2 linked regions of the Diceros bicornis minor genome follow. The protein of the gene in region 1 purifies or fractionates together with the protein of each later gene. This does not show direct contact. Links are inferred from orthologs where the notes say so. Each region holds a gene or a part of one and is shown on either strand. Other genes may lie near its edges. The genes, in order: CHEK1 and HAX1.

Region 1 (16,152 bases):
AGTGGGTGGTTGAGTCTGATAAATATGAGATTCAAAATGGAAGGGAGAGGAATGTGGGAAAAAAGGAAAGTGACAAGAACAAGAAGAATGCCCGACCCACTCCCAGATCAAAGGGTACAAAGGTGTGGGAGAGAAAACATCTACCACTTGAGAGGAAGCAGTGTCCTCAGGGGTGAGTTGAATTTCAATTAGAACGAGGTGAAAGGTAAAAGAAACATTCAGAGAAGAGTTAAAAATTCCTCATTCTCCCGCTGTCCTCTCCTCCCACTCACAGCCAAACTTCTTGAATGAGCTACCTATACTCTGCTTCTTCACCTCTCTTTTAGACTACAATCACTATACTCTAGAATTTACTCCCAACTCTCCACCAAAACTGTTCCTGCCAAGATCATGAATAACTGCCATATCACGGAATCCACTGGACAAATTTTGAGGCTTCATGTTATTAATTCACTTAACAGTATCTGCCACTGTCATGCATTTTCTTCTCTTAGCCTCAATTACTCCACATTCTCTGACGTTCCTCCCACCTCTCTGGCTACTTTTCTGTTTCCCTGGCCCCCACCTACCACTTAAATGTTGGCATTCCTTAAAATTTCATACACTCAATTTCGTCTACCATCATAGTTTACATTACCATCTATCTGCAGAAAACACCTGAACTGACATCTCAAGCCTCACACACACATACACATAAATACCTACTGGACAGTTTTACTTAACTTCTCAAATTCAACATGCCCAAAATCAAATAAAATTTTCCCCCAAATCTGTTTTTCCTCCTGAGTTACATCCCAGTAAATGGTATCACCATTTATACAGTTGTTCAAACCAGAAAGGAGTCATCATTGATTCCTCATTCTCCTTCATTTTCTACATATAAACAATCATCAGTCCTATCAACTATCAATTCTAGTTCTTAAATTTCTTTGGAATATCTCTCTTCTTTCCAATCCCACTGTCACCAACCTAGTCCAAGCTACCATCTTCTCATGTCTAGGATCAAAAACAACTTTTAAAAAAAGTAGCCAGAAAGATCTTTTAAAACCAAATATATGATCATGTCATTTCCTTGCTTAAAAGCTCTCAAAGGTTTCCCCAATGCCCTTGAGCTAAAGCCCAAAATCCTTAACATGGCTTACAAGGTCCTCCTCCACTACTTGATCACTACCTACCTCTCTGGCCTCATCTCAAACATCTCTCCCTTCTCTCTTCACTCCTTTACTCAACAAACATCTACTGAGTGCCTACAATGCACCATATACTGTGCTAACCACTAGTGATACAATGAACAAGCCAGACACAGTCCATGCCATAGTGGCCTTCTTTCAAATTCCTCAAATGCACCACTTTCTAAACCCCAAGACATTCCAAATGCTGCTTCCTCTGTTCAGAATCTGCTACTCATCTTGCTAGCACTCATCTGGCTAGCTCCTCTTTAATCTTCAAACCTTAGATTTAATATGATTTCCTCAGGAAGACAAGTTTTCTCCGTCACTTAAGACTTGGTCAAACACTTAGCTATAGTACCCTGACTTTCCACTTTATAATTATTAATAAATGTAAAATTATTTTTATGTTTGTTTTTCCTACTAGTCATTATAAGCTCCATGAGGACAGAGACCACAGCTATCTTGTACTGTTGACTTGTGATACTGACTTTGCAAGTACCTTTTCTTTCACAGAAAAATATACTTGTTTTTTAGGCAAACGAAACCAGGATCAAAATGAATAGGCAACCCACCGGTTGGGAAAAAATACTTGCAAACCATATATCTGACAAGGGATTAATCTCCATAATATATAAAGAACTCACACAACTGAACAATTAAAAAACAAACAACTTGATCAAAAAATGGGCAGAGGAAATAAACAGACACTTCTCCAAAGCAGATATACAGATGGCCAATAGGTATATGAAACGTCACTAATCATCAGGGAAATGCAAATCAAAACCACACTAAGATATCATCTTACGCCTGTTAGGATGAATATAATCACCAAGACAAAAAACAACAAACGCTGGAGAGGCTGTGGAGAAACGGGAACCCTAATTCACTGCTGGTGGGAGTGCAAAGTGGCACAGCCTCTATGGAAAACAGTATGGAAATTCCTCAAAAAATTAAAAATAGAAATACCTTATCATCCAGCTATCCCACTACTGGGTATCTAGCCAACAAACCTGAAACCAACAATCCAAAGAGGCTTTTGCACCCCTATGTTCATCATAGCATTATTCACTATAGCCAAGATGTGGAAGCAACCCAAGTGTCCCTCAACTGATAAGTGGATAAAGAAGCTGTGGTATATATATAGAATGGAATACTACTCAGCCATAAAAAAAAGACAAAATCATCCCATTTGCAATAACATGGATGGACCTGGAGGGTATTATGTTAAGCGAAATAAGCCAGAAAGAGAAAGACAAACACCACATGATTTCACTCATACGTGGAAGATAAACCAACACACAGACAGAGAGAACTGTTTGGTGGTTACCAGGCCTAGTGGGGTGAGGAGGTGGGCAAAAGGGGTGAAGGGATGCATTTATATGATGACTAACAAACAATAATGTATAACAAAAATTTCACAATAAAGAAAAAGAAAAAGAAAAAAAAATACTTGTATTTTAAGGATATTACCTTTCTTGAGTGGTTTGTTGTACCATCTATCTTTTTTGATGTCAGGGATGGTAATCCTTACTGACGGATTCTCAACTAGGATTTTATGCAGTAGAGCTGAAAACAAAACATTAAGACAACATTTACAAAAGAGTCATGCACATTAGAAAAGCCTATAGCCTGTGGTATGGAACACATTCTCTATTGGTCTCCTTACAACCGAATATTATTTCTAGGGAAGAGAAAAATAAAGCTACTGAAGTATTGCTTTAATTTCATGCAGTTTTTCTTTGCTACTGTCTATATCTTAGAATATTCTTCCCAGATCTGATTCTCAGTTGTCTGCAACTAAGAAGAACAAGAGCCAGGTGGAAATGCTTCCCCCCATGTGATAACATTAACAAAAAAATACAAAAACCCCCTTATCCATTTTCAGTACCCAACTTCATTGGTCCAATATGTCATGTTAAATCCTCATTCACACAGTTTTATAAGGACAATCTACTTTCCAAAAACTTTTTCTTTTGGTGAGGAAGATTGACCCTGAGCTAACATCCGTGCCAATCTTCCTCTATTTTGTATGTGGGATGCCGCCACAGCATGGCTTGATGAGCAGTGTGTAGGTCCGCGCCCAGGATCCAAACGCTTGAAGCCTGGGCTGCCAAAGTGGAGTGTGCAAACTTAACCACTACACCACCAGGCCAGCCTCTACTTTCCAAAAACTTTGAAAGAGACAGTCATATAAGCAACCATCATCCTAAAGTATCTTAATTATCTTGACAAAAAATTCATACATCTCCCACTACCAAAATCATTTTCTAATGGACCAAAGATTTAAATGAAAAAATGGAGCCATGAAAACATAGGGAATTTTTTTCTAATATTAGGGATAGAAAAGACCTTTCCAAACATGACCATATAGTGAGAAACCACAAAGGACAAGATAATAGATTTGAATAAATAAAAATATAAAACTTTTGCATGTCAAAATAGCATAAACAAAATAAAAGTACATAAATGGTGAAAAATATTTCTAACAAATGTGAAGATCTAATGACATTAATGTTTAAAAAAAAAAACTCACACAGTAATAAAACCTCCCTGTCAAAAATGAGCAAAATAGACAATCTACAAAAATAGACAAAAAGCCAATAAATATATAATGGATATACAACCTCATTGGCACTAAATTTAAAATAAAAATAAAAAACAGTGAATGTATTTTTTAAAGGCCTATTAGAAAATTAGTCAAATATTTTTTTAAAAATATAAACCAATGAGATGGTGATAAAATGGTACAAACTTTCTGGGAAGCAATATGGCAAAGTAAACCACAATAATTAAAAACTATATACATCCTTGACCCTGTAGTTCCACTTCTGGGGATTTTTTTAATTAAACAATTTAAAGGTATGTGCATTACATGGATGATCATCATTATCTCTTTCATAACAGTGAAAAATCAGAAAAAGTCTAAATCTCTAAAAAAGTGAACGGGATGAGTATAGTAAGGCATATCCACACAGCAGAATACTATCATAGCCTTTAAAAACAATGATGTAGACCTGCAATTATAGTTATGGAAAAATGTCCACAAAGCATTAACATAAAAAAACAGGTTACAAAATAGCATGTGTAATGTGATCTCATCTTTTGTCAAAACACACATACTTATAACTAATATACATATATAACAAACATATATTAAATATTTTTACAACAATGTCTAGAAGCACATATCAAAATATTAAAAGAAGCTATTTCTGAATGCTGGGATTATAGGGTTGGTTTTTTAAAAATTTTTATTTATTATGTTCTAATTTATCTACAAGGATCATGGATTATTTACATGATTATTTAAAAATTAAAAAGAAAAAAAAATGTAAGAAAAAAATTCAAAAGGCAGTAGGCTTCATTATCCAAGAAATCAGTACTTTCAATCAAGATAACCCAGTTACCTAGAGGAACAGAATCGATTTTTTTCCAAGGGTTGAGGTATGTTTTTTTTTCTTTCCAATCAGAATATTCTTGACAACTGTCACTGGGCTGGTCCCATGGCAATTCTAAGAAAGAAATAAGTCCCAGTTATCTGAGTGCTCGCATCGTTATACAGTAAAGATTTTAAGGGAAAATAATCAATTACACAAATCCATTAAAAGTTTCCTCAAAATTAATTCAATATGGTTTTCAAACCAAAAATGCAACTCACAAAAATTTCAGAGGCACTTCAAAGATGGATGAATCACTTCCTGCCCTACTCTTTCCAAAAGTATTCACATGAATCTTAAAAGAGATAGCTATTGTGTTACCTCATTTATCAGCTATACATACCTGATTTTTAAAAACTTTTGGGGTTAAAAGTTCCAACTTAGTTATAAATAAGTTACTATCACATAAATATGGATTCCCTTGGTTTATTTCATTCATTTTGGTCTAACACATTTGGCTTTCCATAAGACAGGAGTTTTATCATGATTAAACAGCTGTTACCTCCAGCCAACATCGCAGTAAGTACTATTCCACAGGACCAAACATCAACCGGTTCTGCATGAAATTCTTTCCTCTTTAGAAGTTCTGGAGCAACATAAGGTAAAGTACCACACATCTTGTTCAATAAACGTTCACGATTATTATGCCGAAACACTGTCGCCAAGCCAAAGTCAGAGATTTTGAGGTTATCTAAACCAAAGGAAAAAAGAATAGCACCGGATAAAAATGTTTTGTATATAGATATACCTAAAGGAATTAAGTTTTATTGGAAAATCCCTGTTGTTACTTAAGGTTCATAGAACTTCTCTACCTTAAAATGACCAAAAAGAAATTTTAAAAAACAACAAATAAAAGACATCATCATCTAGCTATAACTAGAAAAAGGCCTCATTGCTTCTATCAACTTAAGAGAAATACCATCAACACACAAAACAATATGGACCACGTTAAAGAAAGATACTGCCTTCTGGAAAAGTGCATTCCAGACTTAGGCTGAAAGCAGAGCTGAGCCTTTCATCAGATTGTGCAGAGGGCAGAAAGGAAACATCAACAATATACTAGGCACAACTTTCTCAGAAGCAAACAAACCCAGCTGGCAGGATGGTCTTTCTTTTTTTTGGAGTTTTTTTCCATGTTTGTATCTCTAAACAATATATTTTACATATTTTTGACCTTCATAAAAATAGATTCATACTTGTATGAATTCTTCTGCAACTTTTTTTGCTCTATATCATTATATTCCTAAAATTCATCCATGTCATTACTTGTAGCTATAAATCATCCATTTCATAATTTATCTGTTCTATTGTTGATAGACATTTGAGTTGTTTCCAGTTTTTTGCTATTATAAACACCACTGCTGTATATATGCATAATGTTTTATTTTTTAAACCAGGTGGGTACACAGGTGTTTATTATATTTTAATTTATTATATTATGTATTATACATTTTATATAAATTTTTGTGGGCCTGAATTTTTTTTAAGTTTTAAATAAAAGTAAAGGTTTTTATGCTATACAAATACAATGTAAAAGGGTAAAAAGTAGGGGCTGGCCCAGTGGCATAGTGGTTAAGTTTGCATGCTCTGCTTCAGTGGTCGGGGTTTGCAGGTTCAGATCCCCGGCGCAGACCTATGCACCATTCATCAAATCACGCTGTGGCAGGCGTCCCACATAAAATAGAGGAAGATGGGCACAGATGTTAGCTCAGGGCTAATCTTCCTCACCAAAAAAAGAAAAAGGGTAAAAAGTAAAGTCCATATGCACATAAGAAAAAAGCATATATTCTATGATCTAACTTACATTACGTTTTACACATATCTCCACTTGGGTTGTGAGGATAAAGAAGAGAGATATCATATCTCACAACCCAAGTAGATTCTCTTACTCTGCCCATTTTATAGATGAAGAAAGTGAGGCAGAGAGAAGTTAAGCAATTTACCCCAAGGCCACACACCTATTACAAGGTGGCCTAGATTAAACCTAGGTTCAAAGGACTCTAAAGCTTAAGCTCTTAATACTATGGTATACCACCTCTCATATTTAAAGATACATTCAATCCTTCTTTTCCAGAGGGTTTTATGTAGCTTGAAACCTGTATTTAATCAAAAAAGGACTTAATTTGTAGATGAGGAAGGGGAAGAACTAACTGTAATACCATCAAGGCTATTAACATTCAAAAAGTAATGGAAATAGAATGAAAAATGGAAGCGAAAGAAATTTTCCCAGCTGTGCTCTCATTTCTCAGGATTCATCAACAGACCATTCTACAGTTCCTTTTTTCCCACACAAATTTTCTGAATATCTAAAATTTTGCTACGTGCCTTATGAAAGGCCAACTTACAGTAGGTTAAACAACCAAGGGAGGATCTTAGGTAGCTAGGTTAGCAGATGGGTTAATAAAAGGGTATCTAAAAGATATTCATCAAAACATTAACAGTGATTATAACTGATTGGTGAGCTTCTGGTGATTTTTTACTTTCTTCTTTATACTTTTGCTCTTACTTCATGATTATCTTTTATCTTTATGAAGGGAAAAAAACCAATACTTTAAGTTTGGGAACAAAGTTCTCATATTCCAGATATTATTACATACTCACATCTCCATTTTTTAGTAAATAAAGTGGCTTCTCTTAATTTATCCCCTCATATGAAGGTGAATTATAGAGTTCAGGAAGAGGTTAGGAGGCTGATAAGAAAGTACAGTTACCTGTCATGGTGAACAATGCTGCCAGAAACACTAAACCTCAGGGTTAGACAAAATCTTAAAAGTACTTTGGTCCAACTAGCCAAGCAACGTTTAAATTCCCCTTACCATATCCCTGATGATAATAATCCAGTGTTTGACTCTCATGTTATAAACTCACTATATTCTAAAGCAACCTATTAAGTTTCTGGACAGATCCATTAATGGGGGTCATCCCTGTACTACCTTCCACATAGTTTTCACCCACATATTCTGAAGAACTGTATTCAACAGGTAGCAAGTTTCCACCGAGTTCCTTCAGTTATTCCTTATTTTACATAGTTTGTGGCCCTTTCATCATTCTAGTCAGTCTCCTATAAAAGTACTTCAGTGGTCTACGTGCCTTTTACACTATTGTCCCAGGACACCCATTATTTCCGGTGTGGCCTCACTGAAGAAGTGTTGGACTGCCATCTTCCTCATTCTCAATAACATCAACTTAAGTTTCCTAATGACCAAATTACACTGGGAACTAATATGAAGTTTGCTGCCAGCTAAGTCTTTTTTAACCTGCTTTGCTGCCAAAGATATGCCACTCAACTATACTTACTTGGTTAGTTTTTTCCATCCAAATACTGGACTTTAGATTTTTCTCTGTTGGAGAACAACTTGTTAAATCTGACCCATCTCTCTGGTCTGCTAAACTCATTCATTCAATAAATATTCTTGAAAGCCTATTTGCCAGGCTCTATTCTAATGCATTAAATAAAGCATTAAACAAAACAGACAAAAGTCACTGCCTCTTGCAGCTGACATTTCTGTCATCTCTCTTTTTTTTTCCCCCCAAAAGCCCCAGTAGATAGTTGTATGTCATAGCTGCACATCCTTCTAGTTGCTGTATGTGGGACACGGCCTCAGCATGGCCGGAGAAGCGGTGCGTCAGTGCGTGCCCGGGATCCGAACCTGGGCCACCAGCAGCGGAGCGCGCGCGCACTTAACCGTTAAGCCACAGGGCCGGCCCTCTGTCATCTTTTTGGATTCTGATTCTATAAGCTAACACTTTCACTAGCCATCCCTCTCAGTTTTTATGGCATCCATAAAATATATCTAAACTCTTTTCATCCAAATCATAGATTAAAAAGAACAAACAGGGGCACAAAGCTAAGGTCCAGGGTATTCCAATAGAAACTTCCCTTTATTAATTTATTAAAGAGTTGTTTAAGACTATTCATATAGTTATTCATATAGTGAGCTACCCTTGCATCTAGGTCAGATTTCTGTTTCATCCACAACTATATCATGAAAGACTCATAAAGTCTAAATATACTGAGTCTCTCAAATTTCCTAGACTTTTCTTTGGATTTTTTGCCCTGAAATTTCAATAACACAAAAGCCTTGATCCTGCGTTGTACAGCTATATTAAAATAACTTAGGTGGCAGTGACAAAATGCTCAACTTACCCCTTTCATCCAATAGGAGATTTTCTGGCTTAATATCCCTGTGAGTTATTCCAATACCATGCAAATAAACCTAGGAGGGAAGCATACCAAAGTTCAGTAACTTACTTCAGTCACACTAATTTTAAGCAAAAGGAAAAGAGACAACTGTACCTACCACCCCTGCCATGAGTTGATGGAAGAACCTCTGAGCATCTTGTTCAGGCATGCCTATGTCTGGCTCTATAGGAATTAATTATGAAAGTTAGTTTACCAGGTAAATATAATCAGGCATCAACCACAAAGTCTCCTAATGCTAAGGTTAGACATTTGTGATTGTACTGTAGCAACAGAATCTTATGCTAACAGTTAAAGACTCTGGAGTTCACCAACTCATATAGTACTTAATAGCTCACATTTTCCCATCTGTTCGTGGCAAAAATAAATTAACATCACAGGAAAATTACAGAGACCAAAAACTATCATCCAAATCAAGAATGCAAGCCATACCTTGAAAGCCCCTGCTCATCTTACACTAACCATGATCTATATGGTATCCTTCAAATTCTCCTCTAATTTCTTCTAAATGCTATAACAATATTTCTCCTACCTCTGAAATGTAATTGCCAAAGTGTAAGCCTGGGCAAATCTAAGCTAATTTCACTAAATAATTAACAAAAGATTTAAATTTCATATACTCTCTCACTACTACAAAGCTGTGAATGTCTGTGAAGTTCCTTCAGGAAATACAGTTTTATTAAGAAATGTTCTATTGTCAGTTATCTTTTTGTACTTTGATCTCCCTCATTAACTTTTTTTTAAACGTTTTATTTTTTATTATTTTTTTCCCCCAAAGTCCCAGTAGATAGTTGTATGTCATAGCTGCACATTCCTGTAGCTGCTACATGTGGGACGCAGCCCCAGCATGGCCAGAGAAGTGGCGCATCGGTGCGCGCCCAGGATCCGAACCTGGGCCGCCAGCAGCAGAGCGCACACACTTAACTGCCAAGCCACGGGGCCGGCCTCCCTCATTAACTCTTGATTTTTTCTACACTCAACTCTCTCCTGAGATACATATTGGAGATTCTAATAATCAGTTTTTAACTGTTAATACAATAGCTTTAAATAATCAATTTAGATTCACAGAATATAATTTATGTATTCCTCAGTGTTCTGTAATATAAAGCCTTTGAATCTACATAGAATATTTAGGTGGCAAACACAGACATTACTTAATATATATAAAGCAATCCTAGAACATTCTCAATTATTTCATTTAAATAAATAAAGAAGAAATATAACAACATGCTATTATTTATTATTTTGTATCTGTAAATGTATGCAATGATTTTATGTAACTAGAATGTCTACAAAGAAAAAAACTGTCTAGGCAAACAATAGATTGCAATTATAATACTTCACCATGAGATTAGTTTATCATTCTTAAACTCTACAAAACAGCAATCTCAACCAAAATCACATATACAACTTGGGAAAAAAAGTTTTCTTTGATGACTCTATATATGCTTTCATGTGTTAACATAAGTTGCTAAAACAAGAAAATTTACTCCAATTTCATTATTGCATAAGCAATTGGACAATGATCAAATAGCAGACCCAAGATTCAAAACCAAATTTAGAAATTCGTTTAGTAGAATAAGTATCTTAAATCTTTTCCATACCTATTCTATCAAAAAGTTCTCCCCCACTGCAGTACTCCAGAAATAGATACTGGATATTGCCTTCTCTCCTGTGACCATAGAATTTCACTACATTCTCATGATTTAACATTTTATTGATACAGATCTCTTTCTTAATATTTTCTGGACAGTCTATGGCACGCTTCATGTCTACTATCTTCACTGCAACTGCTTCTTCAGTTCTTCTATTCACAGCAAGTTGAACTCTAAAAAGGAAAAGGAAGACATTTGAATTCTTTCTTTTAAAACTTCAAAAGATTAAACATGACTCATCCAACTATTTTACCTTTATTACTTTCTCTACAAAGGAGAAACCAAGGAAACAGTTTCTGCCATGTTCTCAACAGATACTACTCCTTTCTGACATGTAAGGTATGATAGTTAATGTCCCAAGGAAGTCATTATGCTATACATCCAAAAGTCATTTAATAAACGCTTGATAAAATAAATTAAAATGGGATAACAGCAATTGTATGCCACATCACATATATGCATACACTATTCATTTAATTTTAATAACATTACCTAACATATATCAATCCGACACTACATACACCTGTGTTAACTGTTCTAAGCATCTATGCGGTAGGTACTACTATTGCCATCTCACAGCTGAGGAAACAGAGGCACACAACCGCATTAAGAAGCTTGCCCAAGAAAACAAAACAATGACCAGTATGTGACAGAGTGAGGGTTCGAAACCAGTCTGACTCCAGTGTCTGTTCATTTGCTCACTTAACCACTATGCTTAAACCCCAGGAAGGGATATGTGGGAAGAGAAACTGACTTTAGAAGTCTCTTCCAGCTCTTTACAAACACTGTTGGAAAAAAGCAAGAAAAAAATTAATTCTTACAAAAGATTGTGCAGCTTCAGTTCCCAAAAGTCTTGGATTTCAAATGCAAAGATCTGTTCGCTAAGGCACCACTGTATTAGAATAAACAACTCCAAAACAATGAATATGTATGTACTCAAACAAGACAACAGAGAGAAAACTAAACAAGCGTGAAGGCAGGGTAAGCGGACTCAAACTCACTCTCCATAGGCACCTTCTCCCAGGGTTTGCACCAAGTCCCAGTCTTCCACAAAGGGCACTGCCATGACTCCACTACGAACCACGGCTGCAAAAGGTAGGAACCCAGAAATGATGGGGATGAGAAGAAGCCTCAATTATCTGTAAAGCCACTGAGCTCTGGCTCTTGCCATGATTCCTCAATATAAATAATAGCTCTTGGTTTCCCCTTACACCTCATCCACATTTTATCCAAGTCTTTTAACCACAAGCAAGTATGTATTCTAAATTCTGGCACTTTGTTGTGTTAATCACAATCCGCATTCCCACGCAACCCGACGGCTGAAACTCCGCCTTCCTCAGGCCTCAGAAGAAATTTAATAGTTCTGTTGAGGAGCTGGGGTACAAATGCTTTACGGTGGATGACTGGGGAAGAGGGTGAAAGAGGTGGGGTTTGGGTGGGAGAGTAAGAGGATGCGGCCTCATGGGGGCGGAAATAATAACTACGACCCCTGCAGCCCCTCCTCTCCACTTGCTCAGTCCCAATACCCACTCTCACCCCGTCCCAAAGGCCGGGAGGAGCCGGGGCGGGGCCAAACTGCCCCAAGAAGCGGAAGGGCTGGGTGGCAGACGGACGGCCGGGGCCCAAACCCCTGGGGTTCTCAGCCAGCAGAGAGTTGGTCTCTCCAGTCCCTCTACAATGGGGACCCCCAGTACTCCTCCACCCTCCGAAACCGCCCTCCGTGGGAGTCTCTCCGATCCCCTTCGCCTGTCCCCGGTAACATTCTCTCGCCGTGCCCCTCCTAACTAATGTGGACCCCGAACTCCTTCTCCAAACTGGTTACCCACCCTACCGACCGCCTCTCCTCACCCTCGTCCTTTGCCTGCCACCACAGGAATCCAAATACGGCGCTTTTCCCGCCAAAACTTGCTCGCGTCACACGGTCGCAAACGTGCGCACCCTTGCCGTAAAGCAGGAAAGCGCGCGTTCCCGTGACCGCTGCCGTAAGAGTGGCCGCTTCAGGTGGCGGGCGCCGGGAGGTTACCCCCAGGTTTAAGCAGGCCGGGCCTTGGGTTACTTTGGAGTCGAGGCAAGGTCCTGGCTGAAGAGATTTAAGAACTGCCCGCCGCATCAGTGCGCATGATCTCTGGGCCCAGACGCGAAGTGGTCTCCGGTGTGGGACCTCGGCCAGGCGGCCCTCACGCTCCTGGGCGGAGCCGAAGCCCCTCCGGAGATGTGCCTTGACACAGCGGGCGGCGCGGTCCTCGCGTTCGCGCCCCCTGTGTTCTGGACCTGGCGGGCGGGCGGGATACGTGCCTACACCGACCAGCTCGGGAGCTCCGAGCACCTCGCCCGGCTGCTGGCAGGATTGTGAGGATCACATGCAATGACTGTTGCCTCTCTATGTAACTTTAAAGTGCGCTACAGAAAAAACGAGAGCGGAGAAGCTAAGAGCTGCTGTTGTAATTGATCTTTTGAAGAGTGAAAGGAACTTTGTGGTGGGAGCCAGAAGCATCAAAAAAGACTGGCCACAGAGGAATGAGGGTGGGAACGCGCCCGGATGAAGAAAGCTATTTATTTGTAGTTTGAGGTCATGTCAGGATAACCAATCTTATCATGTCTGAACTGGCTCCAAAACAAGACCTTAGCCCAACCTTCGTAAAGTAGGAGCATCTGCATAGCTTAGTTCTACTCGCTTTTTCATTCTTAATGTGTAAGATACAGGCAGGTAGAAGCAAAAAGGCGTTTCGCCTCATTTTACAATGCCAATGTTAAAAGTAACCAGTTTAAATGGGAAAGTAAATTCAGGGAAAGGGGACTTGTTTGAGCACAAAATAATGTGGAAAAACTGAAATAGGTATACCCCCTTGACAGTAAACTAGACTGGGAACTCAAAACGCAGGCAAGATCATCTCCATTCAATTCTCCAGTTCTTAAAACTGGGCCACATACGTTGAGCATAACTTGCTCTTGCCTGTGATACTGGTAATAGAGTAAGTGTAAAATATATTACACAAAATTGCATACATGTGTCTTAAAGTAGCAAAGTCAGGGCTAAAAAAAACAAGACCAGAACATTTCAAAATGCTTACGCAAGAAGTTTTTAACCATGACATCACAGTTTAGGCTTCATATAATAAAGTTTTCGAAGTCATTTACTCCATTTTCTGTAGTTTCTGCACTGTGTGCTGCAAACAAAGAATATGAAGAGAGAGGAGGATCTGTACAGTTCCTATGTGTCTGGATAGAATTAAGGTATTTTAGCCTGAAAGAAATCAGTATACAGGATTCAGGCAGAATACTACTGCAAGATAGCATGTGGGAGAATGAACGAATGCACACAGTAGCCTCTATTCTCTTCTGAAACTTTACTAAAATAGTAAATTTTAATAGTAAATATTAAAATAACAAAATAGTAAAATTTACTATTTTAAAATAATAGTAAATTTTTAAAAGGCAATAACCCACAAGAATAGAGTATGAAAAAAAACCTTTTGGAAAGTGGCAAGTCTTTAGATGAAAGGTAACTTAGATGAAAGAAAGACGAATCCTAACGCCAGCAATGAGAAAGCAGAAAAGCAACATGATTTGCATCCCAGAACTCCCAAAGGCTCAAGTAGAATTATCAACACCAGGTAACTGAATGTGGAGGTGAACATGGGGCTAAAAAGAGGGTAGGTTGAAAGACTATGTAAGAAGCAAATAAACCCTTGGATCCTCTCTGTCCTCTGTATACCCAAAGAACTGCCCCTCCCTGAAACAGACACAAGACTTGAGAGGGTAACACGTGGTATCTGAACTGGACAGCATCAGGCATAGCTAAAGGCTGTTGAAAACAAAGGGATCAAGTTTAAGTTTATGCACTGAAAGTAGAACCTCTGAGCCTTTTTTCCCCCACTTTACTCCCAGAAATCTGGCAACTTGGCTTGTATCCTTAAGAGGATATACATGCCTTCTCCAGGGAATCTTATCTATATAAAAGAAAAGATCAAAAGATACCAATATCCGGACTTCCTAACAACTCAGATCACAGGAGAGGGAAGCCCACATTCAATAAGCCCCACCCCACCCCAAAGAGCCCTTACAATCAACTTTTTAGGGTCCCACTCTTCAAAAAGGGCAGACAACCAAGAATTTGAAAAGGCCTTTAATAGGAAAAATGTCAAAACAAAGGAATATTCAAACAAAAAACCTCTTGGACATTTAAAAAATATGATAGCAGAAAAAAAGGAAACTAAATAGATATGTTAGAAAAAAAAGTTTAGGAAATCTCCCAGAAGGAAGAGTAAAGATGGAAAACAGAAGGGTAAATATAAGAATATTGAAAGACTAATCCAGGAAGTCCAACATCCAAATAACTTATTTTTCAGAAAAAGAAAGGGAGTTGAGGGAATCCACAAATAACTCAAGAAAATTTCCCTTAACTGAAGATCTTGATTTTCTATACTTAAAAGTTTAAAGTACCCAGCACAATGGATGACCCACTCCAAGACACATCATTAGGAAAATTTCAAAACATTACATACAAAGAGAAGATCCTAAGAGGTCTGGGGTGGGAATGAGAGGGAATGGCCACATACAAAAAAATTAAGAATCAGAATAGCATTGCATTTCTCAACATGTAGAAAATAGAAAATAATGGGCCAATGCCTTTAAAATAATTCTAAGGAAAACTTCTTCCCAACCTGCAACTCTACCTAGCCCACCTCTCAATTAAATGTCACAAGAAACATGCAAGATCTCAAGAAATTTATCTCCCACAGGCTTTCTCAAGAAGGTACTTAGAGGTGATAAATCAAAGAAATCAGAGGATTAACACACACAAAATGACAGTGAAAGAACACACCAACCCAAGAAGTGTGTAATCTAGAGTAAACCAATCCAAACTGGGACATACCAAAACAGAAGACATCTCTAAGAATGAGTTATCTAATAAGTCTGAACACATTAAAAGGATTAGTTGGGGGCCGGCCCCATGGCTTAGCGGTTAAGTGCGTGCGCTCTGCTGCTGGCAGCCCGGGTTCAGATCCCGGGTGCGCACCGACGCACGGCTTCTCTGGCCATGCTGAGGCCGCGTCCCACATACAGCAACTAGAAGGATGTGCAACTATGACGTACAGCTATCTACTGGGGCTTTGGGGGGAAAATAAATAAATAAATAAATAAGAAGATTACCTTTAAAAAAAAATAAAATAAATAAAAGGATTAGTTGGCACAAATGAAGGAGAGTTTGGGGAGAAATTAGTGACAAGTACAAAAAAAAAAATGAAAAATCTCCCTCCGAAAAAAAGTTATGCAGAGAAAAAATAGTAACAGTATACCACATGGTCTAGTTGTGAAAAGCCATAAGGTAAAACCTATGGAGCTAACCTAAATCATAACTATAATAGAAGCTTAAAGATGGTAAGAACAAGTGTGGCCATGGGAACAGCAGGATGGGGAAAAAGAGCTAAATCCTCCATTTCCACACCAGAAAGTCAACCTAAAATTGAAAAACCAACACATACCAAAATAAAGCAAATTATTTAATGATATGGAGGTAAGTAATGTGAGAATCAGCAGAGTTGAAATTCATTGCCTCTAGGGGGTGCAAAACAGTGTTGTTGCTTTTTAGAATTATTTTATTATTTTTACACTAAGAGCACTATAACAATGAAAAAAGAAACGTAAATTTTTTAAAAAGATAGCTTCATGTAGCCTAGAAAGGT
Region 2 (16,026 bases), on another chromosome or scaffold:
CCCAAGAACAGGAGAACCCCCAAATGCTCCTCGAGTATTCCCTGGAAAGTTCTGCAGGTCAATTTCAGAAGTGCTGAAACTGGCATGGATTTTACTCCTCCAATAGTGGGTGATTTCAAGAGGCCCACAGAAGACAGTCTGAAGGGGCTACCTGATGCACCTGGTCTACCTTCCAGAACAGGGTCCCACATTGAGGAGAAACTACTTGTCAACTTCTACAAAAAAAAAATTACTAGGATTTTGATAGGAATTGCATTAAATCTATAGATAAATTTGGATAGAATTGCTATCTTAAGTTTTCCAATTCATGAACATGGTATATCTCTCCTTTTATTTAGATTTTAATTATCTCAGCAATTTTTGTAGTTTTCAAAAATGTTCAGCTCTTGCACTTCTCTTGTCAGAATTAAGTATTTTATTCTTTATTATGCTATTATGAAGGGAATTGTTAATTTCATTTTCAGATTGTTTGTTGCCAATATGTAGAAAAACATTTTTTTGTTCTTTTTTTGTATATTGATCTTGTATCCTGAAACCTTGCTCTACTCAATTATTACTACAAGTAATTTTTTTTTGTTGATTCCTTAGGATTTTTTCCTACATACAAGGTCATGGCATCTGTAAACAGTTTTACTTCTTCCTTTCCATTCCATTTTCTGGCCTTATTGCACTATCTAGAACCTCCAATACAACGTAGGATAAGAGCAGATATCCTGGCTTTGTTCCTAATCTTAGTGGGAAAGCATCAGTCTTTCAGCATTAAATATGATGTTTGGTATAGGTTTTTATAGAAACCCCTTTTATAGATACCCCATTTCATGTCTAAAAATGTCTATTATACTCCTACATTTAATTCATAGTTTAATTGGGCATACAATTCTAGACTGGAAATAATTTTCCTTCAGTATTTTAAAAATAATTCTCCATTGTCTTTTAATTCCAGTGTTGCTGTTTAAGTTTGAGAACATTCTGATTCCTGATCCTCTGTATGTGATTTCTCTCTCTCGAATCACTTAGATTCTCTTTTGTCTCTAGTGTTCTGAAATTTTGTATGATGTGCCTTGGAGTGGATTTATTTTCATCCTTGATATCAAGCATGTAGTGAGTCCTTTCAGGTTACAAAGTAATATCCTTCACTTCTGGGCTATTTTCTTTACTTATTTCTTTGATAATTTATACTACCCTAATTTTCTTATCTTTTTTCCTTCTATTTTCTGTCTCTGTTATTTGGTCTACTGTTTTGGAGATTTCCTCAACTTTGGCATGCAGACCTTTTTATAGTTTTTCATTTCTGCCATCATATTTTTTTTAACTCCCCAAAGTTCATTCTTATTTTGTTAATTCCTCTTTTGTAGCATCCTGTTTTGGTTTTATGGGTATATCATCTCATATTTCTAAGGATATTAAAGATTTGTGTTCTTGCTAAATTTTCATCTTTCTGCATAGTCTCTGTTTCTTCCAAGTTGCTTCTTTTGTTTGTATGAGTCTCCATCCTTCATGTTGGATGCTGTCCACAGATGTCTGGTAATCTCTGGCTCCATTTGTGTTTATGATGGTACTCTAAAAAGCTGATTTTGTTGTTAGTACCACCAAGTCGATTCCAACTCCTAGTGACACTGCAGAGCGGAACCCTGCCTGGTCTTTTTGCACCAAGCTCTAACCTTCTGGCATTATATCAGACAATGCTTTGCTGCTATTCACAGGGTTTTTATGGCAAATTTTTTCATAAGTGGGTGGCCCGTTCCTTCTTCCTAGTCTGTCTTAGTCTGGAAGCTCCGCGGAAACCTGTCCACCATGGGTGACTCCACTGGTATTTGAAATACCTGTGGCATAGCTGTCAGCATCACACCACCACACAGTGGCCATAGTATGACAACTGACAGATGGGTGATGTAGTTCCCTGACCAGGAAACACTTGAGCCATGGTGGTGAGAGTGCTGAATCTTAACCACTAGACCCCCAGCACTGACTGTAAAAAGCTGACTAGAAATCTCAATTGTATTCTTATATACTATAGAAGTTAGTGGGGAAAAAAAAAAAAAAAGGTGGGAGGATTTGTTCTACTAAATACAACTATAGTATTTAAAAGTGTAATATGGGTTCAAAGATAGATAAATAGATTAACAGAAAAGAGTAGAAAGACCCAGCACAGGGACATACATGTATTTATATATATGTATGTGTGCACATATGTTAATATGTGTGTATATATGTGCATATGTGTATATATTTTTTCCCAAATGAAAAAAATGAAACTGGTCCCCTGATTCATACCATATAGGAAGATAAATTCCAGGTGGATTAAGAAAACTAAATGTAAAAGGCAAAACTGAAAAACTCATAGAGGGTAATAAAGGACAGCATCCTTTTAACCTTGGGTTTGGGGAGATTTCTAAAAGATATAAAGAGCACTAACCATAAAGGAAAAGATAAATTTGGCTACAATGAATCATCTTCTGTTCACCAAAAGATATAAAAAAGAGAATAAAAAGACAAAAGTTCATTACTATATCTCCTCTCCTTTGTTCTTGTGATATGCCTCTTTAGAAAAATCCCTTTATTGTTATTTTCGTGAGGTTTCCAGAGGAAACAGAGGTAAATAAATTTGTAAGACCTGCCGCTCTAAACCAGTGCTAAAAACTTTTTTAATGAGAAAAAGATCCAGTAATGTTTTTGCTAGTTATACTTTTTCTTACATAAAAAAATAAAAACATAGCCAATAAAGGAAGAAATATTTGCCCATATACTTCCTCAAATGATCTCATGAAGTATCCAATCATAGTGATCCCACATCTAGGGAAGCAGTTATCTCCCACACTTTCACACACTTCCTTTTTTTGTAATCTGATGCATCCCTGTCTATAAATTTTCCTGGAATTATCTCTAGTCATCTTATCTCCTCTGTAAAGAAAATCATTTTCTACTGGTACCTGACCCTTACTTATCAAACCAGGTTTTGAAAGTGGAAAGAAAAATTAAGACATAAGGAGAAAACTGTGGGCAGGATAATTTTGGAAGCCCTGGATGGTGCTAGAAAGTGGAACAGCCTTAACAAAACCAAGACTAAAGAATTAGCATAAATAAACGTTTTATTAGTCAGTTTGGGCAAGTGACATACTGACATACCCCCAATTCACTGTTCGACACACCCAAGCCCGGAGGTGGCAGAAGAGGCTAAGCCCATTGATGGTGAGCAAAGGGTGGAAGGTGGAAAGAACCTGAAGGTCTCTGAGGGTTAACAAGGCTACCGGGACCGGAACCAACGTCCTAGGAATAAATCCAGGATGGAAAAGGTATCATCCAGGGCTGGAGGTGTTGGTGCTTCTGGATCTAAGGAAGAAAGTGATACACTTTCTTGAAATGAAAAAGATTGGGCAGACGCAAAGGAGAAAAATAATATTAAAGAGTAGAAGAGGGTTTCTCTTCCCCAAGGAATTAAAAGATGGACCCCTTTCATTCACACTCTTCACTTACCATCTCTAGGACTGCCACCTGCTTCTTGACGAGTTACTGTGGTCTCTGTCCGACCTTCACTGTCCACCACAGTCCGGCGCTCCTCTACTGTCTACAAGGAGAAGCCCCCACCATATCCCTAACATCACTAAAGGTGAGTTCACTGGTTTCTTTACATAGATCCCTTTTTCCAGAGCATCCTCTGGCCACAGTTCCCTTTACTCCTCTCTCCCAACTCACCCCATCTGGCTTAGTGATCTTGGTCACAGAGACGCTCTTGAAATAGGATTTGGGCTGGGGCTGCAGAACTGGGCCAAGGCCCTCCTGGGAAACCTGGGAATCAAGATCTAGAAGGGCAGAGAGATGAAACAGGAAAGAAAGAGTCCAAAGGAAAGAAGGGGACAAGTGTGGCAGGAAGAAACCTCAGGGAGGAAAAATAGAGGGAACTTTGGGAGAACAGAGGTCTGGTGAACGTCCTCTCCCTCCAGACTCACCATTGTCCTCCCTGGCTCTAGAGTGGGGGGTCACGGGCCACATATCATCAAACTGCAGAAGAAGCCAAAGTAGATAAAATGACACTTTTCAATCTGAATCTTGAGGGATCAAAGTACCCAAATTATTCCCAAGTTCCAAAACTACCTTTTTTCAGGAGAGAGAATCCCATTCAGGATAGCTTTATTTACTCACCCCGCCTTCCTGCCTAGCTGCTTTATGTATTCTTCTACCAAAAAGACTTCCTGAACTGATACTTTTCTGTCCTCCCCCAACAATCCTGCCTTGTCACAGAACCATATAGACCAGGGTTTTGTTTTGTTTTTTTTAAGAAAAAACAGAACTCCCAGAGCCAGCCCGGTGGTGTAGTGGTTGAGTTCACGTGCTCCACTTCTGGCAGCCCAGGGTTTGCAGGCTCGGATTCCGGGTGTGGACCTACACATCGTTCATCAAGCCACACTGTGGCAGGTGTCCCACATAAAGTAGAGGAAGATGGGCACGGATGTTAGCCCCAGGCCAATCTTCCTCAGCAAAAAAGAGGAGGATTGGCAACCGGTGTTAGCTCAGGGCTAATCTTCCTCACACACACACACACAAAAACAGAACCCCCATTTTCCCCCAAAGAAAACCCTAAAAGAAGCTTAATATAGAAAATATACACTAAGTGGAGGGCCTAAGTTTCCAACTCAAGTCCATTCGATTCCAACAAGAATGCCAGTCTTTGCACTCCATTAGTTGTCTCCCACAGGCTCTCGCTTCAGACCCAGATGTACTCACCCTATGGAGAGGTCTCTGGGAGCCCCAGTCTGGTGCTGGTTTTGGGGATTCAGTTCTTATGTCACTCTCCAAGACCCCCCCAAAGATCCTGGGCTGGTGGCTATCTGGATACTTAAGCATTGAGTCTCGAAGCGTCTGTCCCTCCTGCTGTCTCTCACCAGGTGTCTCTGCTTCAGGACCTGGAAGTTCTGAAGAAAGGTGGCAGGTGGATGCTGGGGGTGGGAAAGGACTTGGGCTCTTTTAAACCTCCTTGAAATCATCAGTCTTCTCACACTTCCCATCCCCCAACTACTCTCTGCAGGCTCCTTATTTCAACCACCAACCCAGCAGAAACCAAAGGCTCTCCCTCAGGGGCAGCCACACACCAGGAGGGCGGGAAGGCAAGGTCCAGGCCCCCATCTCGCTGAAGATGTTATTGAAATCCCGTACTAGGTCATCAAAGCCGAAGTTATCATGGAACTGCATCCCTCCTCCTGGGCTGAAGCTGAAGCCGAAGCCAAATTCCTCCGGGGGCTGGGGACCCTCAAACCTCGAGCTTCCATGGCCCCACGTGGCTCCTTCTTCTTCCTCTTCCTCATCATCTTCATCTCGAGTCATCCCTCCAAAAAAGGGATCTCTGTAGTTGGGGTAGAGGCAGATTGGCCACCAAGATTTCAGAACTACTTAAACCATAAAATCAACTCACGGGTGGCAAAGTGGGATAAGAGTAGGGTTCTGGGGAGCTGAGGTGAGGTTTAGAGGACTGGCCATTGGGTATTGTTTTGTTTTGTCTTAGTTTTTATCAGTCAGTCCTCACCTCGCAGCTCCCCTAAACACCTCCCCTCGGCTTTTCTTCAGTGTCCCCCAGCCCCTCCCCTCTTTCCCAAGCTCCTGCTCACTTGCTCATTGTCGTCTTCCCCAGAGCCCCACTGTCTTCCCCGCCCGGGCCCTGCTGCATCACCCCAGATTGGAGAAAGGCTTAAGGTGCTGTTTCTCCTCCTCTTAACGACGCCTTGGCTACTGCTGCGGGGTGAGTGCTCAATGTTGTGACTTCCGTCCTCTCCGCAGGAGTTGAAGGAGTAGGGAAGAGGATGTTTTTCCAAAAATTGGGTGTTAGGGGTCAAGCTCCCCTCAGAAGACCACCCCCCTTGTCCGACCCGGACCCACTCTCACCTCCGAGGTCCCGAAAAGCCGAAAAACCCCCGAAAAATGTCAAAGAGGCTCATTCCCGTATTGGGACTCGAACCTTCGAACCGTACCAGAGGCCCATTCACACCTGGGGGCAGCCTACGCTTCGCTGTCGGAAACTGAGCGAAACGTCAGACCACGCTGCCGGAAAGCAAGCCTGCGAGCAGGACACTGTCGTAAAACGACCGTACGCTAGACGCCGGTAGGGGGCAGGCCGGACAGTCCTCTCAAATTCGAAAGGCTTTCCTTACCCCTGTTTACCTGTTTCCTGTGAGGGTAGTGGGCGGGGCAAATTTCTATTTCCCAGTGATCACCTGCCTCCTAAGCCGATTCTCCTGATTGGACCAACCCAGTCCAATAGTGTTTGGAGGGTTTGACGCTGGATGGTACCAGATAAAGGCACCAGGTGGCAGTCCATCCCCACAAATGAAGCGGTCCGAGACCTTCCCTCACCGCCGGCTCATCCACGGACTACCGGTCCTTCCGTCTGAAAGCCACCTCGCCCCTTTCCTCGGTCCTGCTGGTTTGACTGACCTAAGTATAACATTAGAGGGTTGGACAGCTGTTTTATCAAGCTCCTTCTAGTACTGCATTCCCCAGAATTGTGCAGAGATAAAGACACGGGGATGCAAGGACTTAACTTCCTCTCCAGCTACTAAGGAGTTTGTCCTAATTATGAAGGATTCTTTTGATTCTAGGCATGCTCTGCAACCAGCAGGATAACAGCTTTCTAAGAGAGCAAGGGAAATCTAGGGAAGGGTCTTGAAAGGGAAGAATTTGGGGCTATAATTATCCCCCTTTTCCCATCATTGATTTTCAAACCCTCCCCCCCTTGTACCCGCCACCCCCATCCCAACCCTGGCCTTGCTCTAGACTCTTCCTTTTTAAGGAGTTGGGTATAGCCATGTGAAATGAAAGCACTCAACAAGCAGGAACTGCTGTAGTCTACTAGGAGAAATGAGCCCCAAGCGTCAGTTTTGCCATCCAACAGTGTATGTTGCCTCCCATTCTTTCCAGTTCATTTGCCTGGACCCATCTAAATTATACTTGGACTACAAAGCCATTTCTTTCCGCTCCTTCTTAATCCTCTTGCTTTCCATCCAATATCCACTATCCCACTCCCTTCACTGCCTAAAATCTGCTGTAGATGTCGATTTCTGGAGGAAATGAAGATTTGTGGTGGTTCTTTCCAGGCACCAGGCTGTGCAAGTCTTAGGGGAGAACGGAAGGGAATCCCCTCAAGGGCAAGACAGTAGCACATTAGGGTCAGAGGAGTTCTTAAAGGGTGAAGATTTCATTTTATTCCACTGCCTTCGGGGCCTAGAGGCCCAGTTGGTACAGTAATACTTATTCACCAAGCTGGTCATCGACGAGACTGAGGATATCCTAGACAGAGTAAGAATGGGCAGAGGCTGAAGGTAAAGGTTTTTTTTTTATATATACAAGACACATTAATCCATTAAATTTGAGGACACAGTACAAAAAAAAAAAACACTTCAACTAATTCATCTGACAACGCTTTTCATATTCATGACGCCATTTTTTGTTGTTGTTGTTTTGTTTCCTAATAATAAAGGAGGAGACTTAGGGCTGTTGGGCTGATATATATTTGGGGGGGCCCCCTCCCCACCTCACCCATACACCACCAGGGTGAACAGGAGGAGAAGGAAGGGCAAGGCCCACAGCAAAGTTTCATAATCTTGAATGCAAGGGGGGAGGAGGAGAGGAAAGGACCAAAAAAAAAAAAAAAAAAAAAAGGAGAAAATACAAATCCTATAATACATACAACAGAGTGGGGATGGGATGGGAATGGGACAGACATGAAGCTGAGGCATGGGGTGGGCCGCTGGGGGTGGGGGGCAGCGGAACCCCCCCCACATTCCTTTCTCTCTTTGATGCTGTTTCCATAGTTGCCAGGCTGAGAAGCCCTCTCAGAAGATGGGACCGGGAGAAGAGGGTCAGGGCCTCAGTTGGCCCCCCAGCTGTAGCTGTTGTAGGCAGACTTGTTGGTCTGGGGCTTCTGCGGGATGGAGCTGGTCTGGCTACGTTGCCCGCTGCCCGTCTGCAGGGGAATGGGGAGGATGATGGGGAGGAAAAAGGTGTGTAGTTAGGACAAACTGTTATATCTTCAGGTGGAGATTTGGAAATTGCTCTCCCATCCCCCTTGCTTAGAAACGGCTCTGAAGCTTCTCAACAATAGAAAATTCGGTTTATATGGCTGCTAGAGCACCACTGATAAGAAAGCACTTTCTTTAGATAGGGGAAAGATGAAAAGAGGGCAAGATACCTTTAGAGACAAGACAGTGAATCAGTTCTATGCATTTTCAAATCCCCCTCACCCACCCCCACCTCCATCCTCCCCTGGTCTGAGAAAAGGCTACTCTCTACAGAGAATTATGGCCTCTTGGAGATGAGTGATCACAAGGTGATTTCATTTTCATTGATCCCCATGAATGTCTCAATTTGGAAAGCTGTCTTGGAGAGCAAGGAAGCTCTTATTCCAGCTCCCCAGCCACCTATGATGGAGCAGAGGTCGCTCACACCACCCCGTGGCTCCCCACCCCTATCACACATCACATCTGTGAGCCCATTTCAGGAGAGAGAGTCTGAGGCCCCAGGCTCCAGATGCTGCCCAAAGAATCCTTTCCATTCCGGTAACCAAGTGTTTCCAGAGTTAGGGAAGGGTAGAAAGAAAAAGAGGGCATTGAGGAGGGGAGGACAAGAGAGGAATGGGAGGCCAGAGAGCTCAGCAAGGTGTTGTGTTTGTGTATCCCGATTTGTGACCGTGCAGTCTTTTCTCTTCAAAGTCCCTAAGGCTGTGGAGGTGAAATGGGGACTGAAAAGGAGTGGGTTCAAGCATATCATCATTGAGTTTCATTACCTGCTCCTCCTGCTGGCGCTGGCAACAGAGAATCATCTGCAAATATGGTAGCTGAGGCAGAACCAGGATATATGGAAAATAAAGGGACAAACTTTGACAATAGAACTCCACCATTAGAAGGGAAAGCTATAATGTCAGGGAAGGGGGAAGGCTGGGAGAGGTAAGAGGGGAGGTGTGACCAAGGTCTAATGGGATGAGGACAACTGTGCTACGGGAGGTGGAGGAGAAAGGCAACAAAGGAATGGGGCAAAAAAAGGTTTCAATGGCCCCTCCTCTGACATCTCCTTTGCCGGCCACTTGTGTTATGTGCGCTTGTGTCTGTATGTGCTGTGTGCCCATGACTGGCGCTGGGGAGGACTGGGTGAAGGTGGTGGTGAGGAAGGGTAAGAAAAGGAGAGGGGAGGCAGTTTTAAGGGACAGGAAGGAAGAGGAAGGGAAAGGAGAGAGGGAAAGGGCTATTACCTGGCCATCCTGCTGCAGGTGATGGTGAAGGATCTGGGAGTGCGGCTGCTGATGGGGGGTCAGAATGTGCATAAAGGGGGCAGGTGGATAGGCAGCAGCTGTGGCCGGATTGATGGGCCCCCCACTTCCTAGGGCTGAAGGCAAGTTGAAGGAGGCAGCAGGAGTACCGGAATGAAAACCTTGTTTCTCAAAGGACTGCTATCCAGGAGGATGCGAGGAGAGAGAGTAAAAGGGATCAGCAAACTAATGCCTGGAATTTCGGAGCCCAAGCTCCCCCACCCTCAGGAAGCAGCACAGTGTCATGGAAACACTGCACCTGAAGTCAGATATTCCAGTCTCGGTCTCAGCTCTGCCCTTTAATAGCTGTGTGATCCTGAAAAAATTACTATCTCTCAGCCTCAGTTTTCTCATACATGAAAACAGGGATGCTACTGACCTCTCAGTTGTAAGGACCAAACGAGAAAATGGATGTGAAAGCACTTGGTAAAATCTAACGTCATATACGAACACAGTGAAATCTGCTGGCTACTCTTAGCACCCTTCCCCTAGAGCTGGGTAGAAATTAGAACTGCTTGGATATTTCAAAAGAAATGAATACACACTGAGGTATCTTGAGTATTAAAAGTCTTAGCCCTGAAGCACTCAACCGTAACTCCTAATACTTTATCAAAATTTTAATTATTTATGGTGGCAGGTGAAAAACAGCACAATACACATCTGTGGATAACTGAAATGCATCACTTTAGCTACTGGGTTGTCTCCTTTCCCACTCTTTGTTATCCCTTAGATACTTACAAAGAATGGAATAAACTAGTTTCCCTTCATTCGACACTCATTCTCTTGGAAAGTGATGAAAAAGTTGGGAGTGGGTAAGTAAAGGGCCCAGACAGCTGCACAGTAATTCACACAACATATTACAACAATTTGCCACATCTCACCTTCCTGTAACACTTCTCTTTTTGTCTTTTTCTAGAGAACTAAATTTAAACTTCTTCAAGAAACTGAAGTCTGAGACCATTCATTTTCTAGAAGGATGGGTTTCCTGACACCTCTCTTAGGCTTGGTTCTTGTTCACCGTACTTCTATTATTACAACTCTACCTCCTCTGTGTCCATCTGTCTTTTCCCACTTCTATCCAGAGCCAGGCACCTACCTGGGTTTTGGAGTACACAGAACCCGAGATATCTGGCACGCCCGTGTTACTGGAGGTGACTGATACACCTGGGGGAGGAGGAAACAGATAGGAGGATTAGCTCAGCTAGCTGCCTGGCCCCTATCCCTGGGAGGAGGTGATGTGTGCAGCCTTTCTAGCTATAGCACTGCAAGGGAATTTTGGTCTGTTTTCCCAGCTTCAGGTCAGTCCTGAGGGATAAGAGCTCATGAAACAAAGGCTACCTAAAGGTTCTCTTGCCGGGGGCCGGCCCAGTAGCATAGTGGTTAACTTTGCACACTCTACTTCAGTGGCCTAGGGTTCACAGTTCAGCTCCCAGGTGCGGACCTACGCACTGCTCATCAGGCCAGACTGTGGCAGCGTCCCACGTACAAATTAGAGGAAGATGGGCACAGATGTTAGCTCAGGGCCAATCTTCCTCACCACACACACACAAAAAAAACCCCAAAGGTTCTCTTGCTCTTTCCAGATGTGTACTGAGTATATGTGTGAGAGAGTGAGGTGAGTTTGTTCTTTTTTTTTTTGCCGGGGTGGGGGTGGGGGGGTGGGGCGGATTTAGCCAAACCTCACAAGCATACAGTTTTCAAAATACTTCTGTGCTAAAGCCCAACAGAATGTATTAAACTTTTAATGTCCATTTCAAATCAATCTGCCCAAACTCCACTCAGTCCTGCTCCTGAAGACAGGTAGTCTGGCTCTTTCTGTTTATGAAGAGACATCTGGGGGCTCAAAATCCATCCCTCCACAGCATAAGGTAAGTACTAGAGGAGCAGTCCAATTCAACCCTCAAGAGCACTTTTATTCTCAGAGCCTCATCTCACTTAGTCCAGCTTCTCCAGAGTCTTGGAGCTTCTAGGCTATATACTTATGATTTAAACAGCTGACACAAAGATGAGTTTCCATTTACATAATTTAAGTCTAAGCATGGGAAGGAGAAGGAGTAAAGAAGGTAGACAAGGGTAGGCTATCTCTACAGCATAGGTGGAATACAAAATCCAAATGTCATTCTAGTTTACAATTCAGCTTCTCCATGAGATAAAAGCTCTAATCCATACTCCAACAACTTGCATGTTTCCTGTTGATAAAGTCCCTACTACCACTACAACTTTAAGGAAACCAGAGTAGTACAATTCCTCATTTTAATTTGTACTTCTTAAACTGAAATAAACATACTGTACCTCCTGGGATATGGGGCAGTGGGTCAAGGAGATAGGAAAAAGCCATCAGGTAAAATAATCCAGCATCTTACTAGAGAAATCTTATGCAAAGATTTGAGGAAAAGTAACTCAAATTTAACTAGGAATTTAAAGCATGCTTTTTAAAGATATTAGTTCTCATGAAGTGAGATAAAATGAAACTTCAGAAAAACTTCGCATTTCAGTCTATGTCCTTGGATCCTTCTCTTCTGCTGTTAGGAACACTACAATGGAAGAGTTCTTTAGAAACTCTGTACTAAAGTAACCAAATCACAAATGAGGAATTCTCCATTCACCCACAATTCAACAGCAATCCCCCTTCAAACTCTACAACCCAAATCCTCCGAATGTCTAGGACAAAGGCAGCCTTCAAAAGTTAAGCCCACCTTGGACAGCCACTTTAGAATCTTCCCAATAGAAGTGGCATCTTAACCTGGAAACCCCTCCCACATCACAAGTCCAGATAGTTCCAGGGAGGAGCAAACACCAACTAGGAAAAAGAACAGAACTACAGAAAGCAAGCATGATAAAATACTTCCCCATCTCCAAACTATCAACTCTCTATACTTTAAAGGCACTGAAGTACAAAGAAGTGGACAATACAGGAGCTAATGGGGTATTTTTTCCCCTTCCCTTTTCAAACCCCAGGTGCCCATCTGGCAAATCACTGGTAATACGCATAACTTTAAGAACAGGAGTTCATTTATGGAAAAGGCTAAACTAATGAGGTTTTTGTGGAAGGGTTGAGAGTAAGATGGAATACACAGGATATAAACAGAACATTTTTGAGGGAAACCAGGAGACAGTGATTGATCTTTACTGCAAAGGCTCAAACAGCTTGCTGACACCTCTTGGTCATCCCATACAGGATGGGAGAAATGGCTAACTGGATTCTCAAGCTGGGTGGTAGAGAGGAATTTAGTTCTGATGTGCCCCTATCTGGTCTCATTTCTTTCCAGAGGCTAGACTAGCTAAAAACTAGCGTCTAAGTCTCGAAGCCTTAATTTGGATATGGGTTGAAGGGACTGGAAATGCAGGAAAAAAGAGAATACTCTGTGTAGTAGGTGTAATAGATAACCTCACTGGAGAGCCTAGAAAATAATGGGTCTTGGTTTTCCTACCTTTCAGCAGTTATTAGACAGCTCCTCAGATTACAGAGTTCTCTTGCCTTCCTTCCAACAGTCAGCACCCTGTCTATCCCTCACTCCCAAGCAGTGATGCTCATACTAACCATGATGTGGACAGCAGGGAGGAGAAATAAGAACCCATCTCTCCCAGCATGGCAGCCGCTGGGAAAGTTGGTCACACTCACAGGATAAAATTACTCCAGAGGGCTGGGAACAAATACAAAGAAAGTGGAATGCCTGGGTTTCCAATTAACCAAGGACAGTGTTCTCACTGTCTCACCATTCCTACTGTCTTACAGTTAACACTGTAAACAAAGGGCTGATGGTGTACTAGTGGGATTGAGTGGGGATAAGAATTTCCATAGTCAAGGAGATGTCTAACCAAACCTCTCCCACACATTCTTAGCTACACCTACAAGTACAAAATGACTAGTAATCCACAATCCCTGAAAAGCCATCAAAAGACTAAGAACAATGTTCCAGGCTAGCACAGTTTCCACAGCCTGCATCATCAACTAGCTGGTCACTAAAGACTTTATCAGATCTCAATCAGCCACTTGGCCTTGGGGAACAAGATATGGGAATTAAGCCTTGGAAGATACTTCCCTGACAACAGCTCTAAACATCATCTCTTCTGCCTTTCACCAGACATGACACTCAATAAACTTTTTTGTCCTTTCTCCTCTGCTTATGTCAGAGGCAAGGGGAAGATCTAAATGGAAAAGTGAAGAGCTATAATAAGCATGGAGAATCAGGGATTTTCTACAAATAGCTTTCTTTACCAACCAATCAACAGGCTGGAAACGGAGACTGTTTCCCCTCCCCCACCTTAATAAAATCACCTTACTGAAAAGTTAACAGTTCTTTGACTATGCTGGGGTTTGACTGAAAAGGCCACCCTCCACCCTTCATCCACAGCACAACATTGGCTCCTAGTGTCCAGAAAGACATGCACGGAAAGAACGCCAGAGTTAGCTAAAGAAATACCACAGTTTATTGAAGACTACAAATATTTTTGTTACAAGTTGAAACTACATGCCTTCCAGAAATCAAAAGCAACAGCAGGTGTGTGCATTGATGCTTCGGAGGTGCTGCACCGCTTGAACTTGAAATGGGTAAGACAGGGTCAGACACATGGGGGAGAGGGAAATGGGGGAAGGGCAAGTTCAAAAGCCCAGAAGATATCCACCAACTCATTTCCCCAAGCCACGCAGGCCATGGCCTCAGCTCAGCAGGCTCTCCTCAGTGGTCTGGTTTCTGAAACAAGACTTCAGTGCAAATTTATACACACACACAAAACATAGCCCCCAGCCTTGGGCCAAATTAGCTCTCTGCCGTCCAGAAATGCTTGTAAGGGGGTGGATATTTTCTTCCTAAAAGGAATCAAATACATAAAAATAAATGAATTTAGAGGTTGATGAGGAATGGGATAACAAGAGCCCTCTGCGGGATTGGGAACTGGGGGTTCTCAAAGGGCTGTTATACCAGGTTTCTGAAATCTTAAGGGAGGTAAGAAGCTAGGATTTCCAGAATCAGGTATGCCATTCTCTTATATTATCCATAACCTACCTCTTAAAATTCTTGAACCTGGTCTAGCTAAGATTTAATCTAATATTCTCAGAATGGGGCCACTCCAAGTCAAAAAGCTTATAATCCTCCCCACTAAGAATTAGGGTGGATCTTGCTCAATGAGCCACAAGGAGTCTAGGTATTAAATCTCAATGGGGTGTCTCAGGATTTCTTTAGCTGAAATCCTGACCCACTCTAAGTCATACAGCACAGTTCAAAGCTCCACGTGGCTGTTAGTTCCCAGACCTGTGGCTCTCTGTGCTCAGCTCAGTTTCCCAATTATTGAAAACCTTGGGCGATATACCCACCTGGAGCCCACACTAGGGTGAAGAATACAGGTGCAGCTCCATCCAAACCACCAGGAAACCAGAACAGCTGAGAATTTTGAAGGATAACCCTCAACCCCAAGCCCTAGCAATTGCAACCTCCTCCTCCCCCCATATTCATCTGCAAGTCACTGAAAAAAGTAGACGGAATTGTTTTATTCAAAGACTCTTTCTTACTCCTTGTCCTCCACAAATAGAGAGTAGGTGTCAGATATGGGAGGCAAAGGAGAGGCTAAGTATCTTTTAGGTCAGTACCATTCAGAGGATTCCTACATTCCCCTCCCTACCATCAATGTGCAAATGGACTTTTGCAAAGAGACCAGCCATACAAATTAAGGAACCGAAATGTCCAACTCTCCCAGCCCAACTCTCACTCTGTTGAGTACTCATGCCTTACTCCTTTCTCTCCACATCTTAGGTCTTCTAGCTAGGGAGTAAAAAGGGGCCACGTAAGAAACATAGTGCTACAAAATTATTTAAGCCAAACCTACTATGGCATGCTAGCTAAGAACCCACTTAACCCTCCTATTCAGTAAATACATTCACCTTTATACTATCAGCACCTTATATATTAACGCTTGCCTCCATTGACATCTCAGTAAAATCTTGGGGCTCCTTGCCCTGCTTCCCACCCAGTTTAGGCTGGCCAACGTATTCTAATAACCAACATGTGCCCCAGGGCATTCCCATCAAGAGTAGGGGATACATGTTCTAGTATCAAGCTCCTCTGTTGTTGCTGCTCAGACAGACACTCAAGTCAGTCAAACATTAACAATCAAACATGAAGCATCAGCACACCCTCACCAACCCTATTTTCTCAAGCACCAAGTCTTCCTCTCTGAAACTCATTTAACAACATCCTACAGACACCACTGACAGCCAAGGTGAGCTTACCAGTGTTGTATCCGTGAGACCCATATCCACTTGGCTGTTGGAAAGGGGTGGCCGATGCATTCACACTGACATTCACACCATGCTGCTTGGAAGAGGTAGGAGCCACCTGAAGAGCAAAAAGGCCAGAACTGCAGTGAAACAGTAGCAGGGTACAATTCACCCCACCCGTCCTACTCCAGGGATCGGGCATTCAGATGGCTACCCATCCTGATGTAGGCTGACCACAGCTTGCTTAGTGAAATGGCCTCCCTACTGAGCCTTCTAAAATCTACCAGTGAGGTCAAGAAATGGTAGTTTGGAGGAAGGGAAAGGGGCAGTGGTAGCAGGGAATGAATGACACTCTAAGGGAATCAAAGCTGCATGGTATCACATTATCCCTTTAGCTAATTCTAAGAACAGGTAATCCCTATCCCCATACCACCAATTCCAGCCCCACTCCCTCTCCCAAGCCCGAAACAGGCCAGAGGTGGAAATTATTCCTCCTCATCCATTATTAAAAAGTCATCTAGCC

The links.
Region 2: the proteins of CHEK1 (region 1) and HAX1 purify together in Homo sapiens (affinity purification with mass spectrometry; 3 studies listed by BioGRID and IntAct, with this or other methods). This does not show direct contact. The link is inferred for Diceros bicornis minor from reciprocal best matches to the Homo sapiens genes CHEK1 and HAX1.

Annotation. Positions count from the first base shown.
Region 1 is NC_080746.1:10,462,093-10,478,244, forward strand, and holds the start of CHEK1 (serine/threonine-protein kinase Chk1), read right to left. Parts: upstream 11,552-16,152; 5' UTR 11,532-11,551; coding exon 11,467-11,531; intron 10,639-11,466; coding exon 10,415-10,638; intron 8,976-10,414; coding exon 8,911-8,975; intron 8,827-8,910; coding exon 8,757-8,826; intron 5,301-8,756; coding exon 5,112-5,300; intron 4,685-5,111; coding exon 4,580-4,684; intron 2,739-4,579; coding exon 2,643-2,738; intron 1-2,642. UniProt on the Homo sapiens protein: Serine/threonine-protein kinase which is required for checkpoint-mediated cell cycle arrest and activation of DNA repair in response to the presence of DNA damage or unreplicated DNA.
Region 2 is NC_080743.1:58,330,505-58,346,530, reverse strand, and holds HAX1 (HCLS1-associated protein X-1), read right to left. Parts: upstream 5,972-16,026; 5' UTR 5,928-5,971; coding exon 5,875-5,927; intron 5,339-5,874; coding exon 5,088-5,338; intron 4,911-5,087; coding exon 4,723-4,910; intron 4,000-4,722; coding exon 3,948-3,999; intron 3,801-3,947; coding exon 3,694-3,800; intron 3,566-3,693; coding exon 3,475-3,565; intron 3,331-3,474; coding exon 3,245-3,330; 3' UTR 3,072-3,244; downstream 1-3,071. Other genes in the region: UBAP2L (ubiquitin-associated protein 2-like), read right to left, coding at 7,856-7,951, 8,771-8,821, 9,233-9,430, 10,386-10,453, 15,516-15,621. UniProt on the Homo sapiens protein: Recruits the Arp2/3 complex to the cell cortex and regulates reorganization of the cortical actin cytoskeleton via its interaction with KCNC3 and the Arp2/3 complex. Slows down the rate of inactivation of KCNC3 channels. Promotes GNA13-mediated cell migration.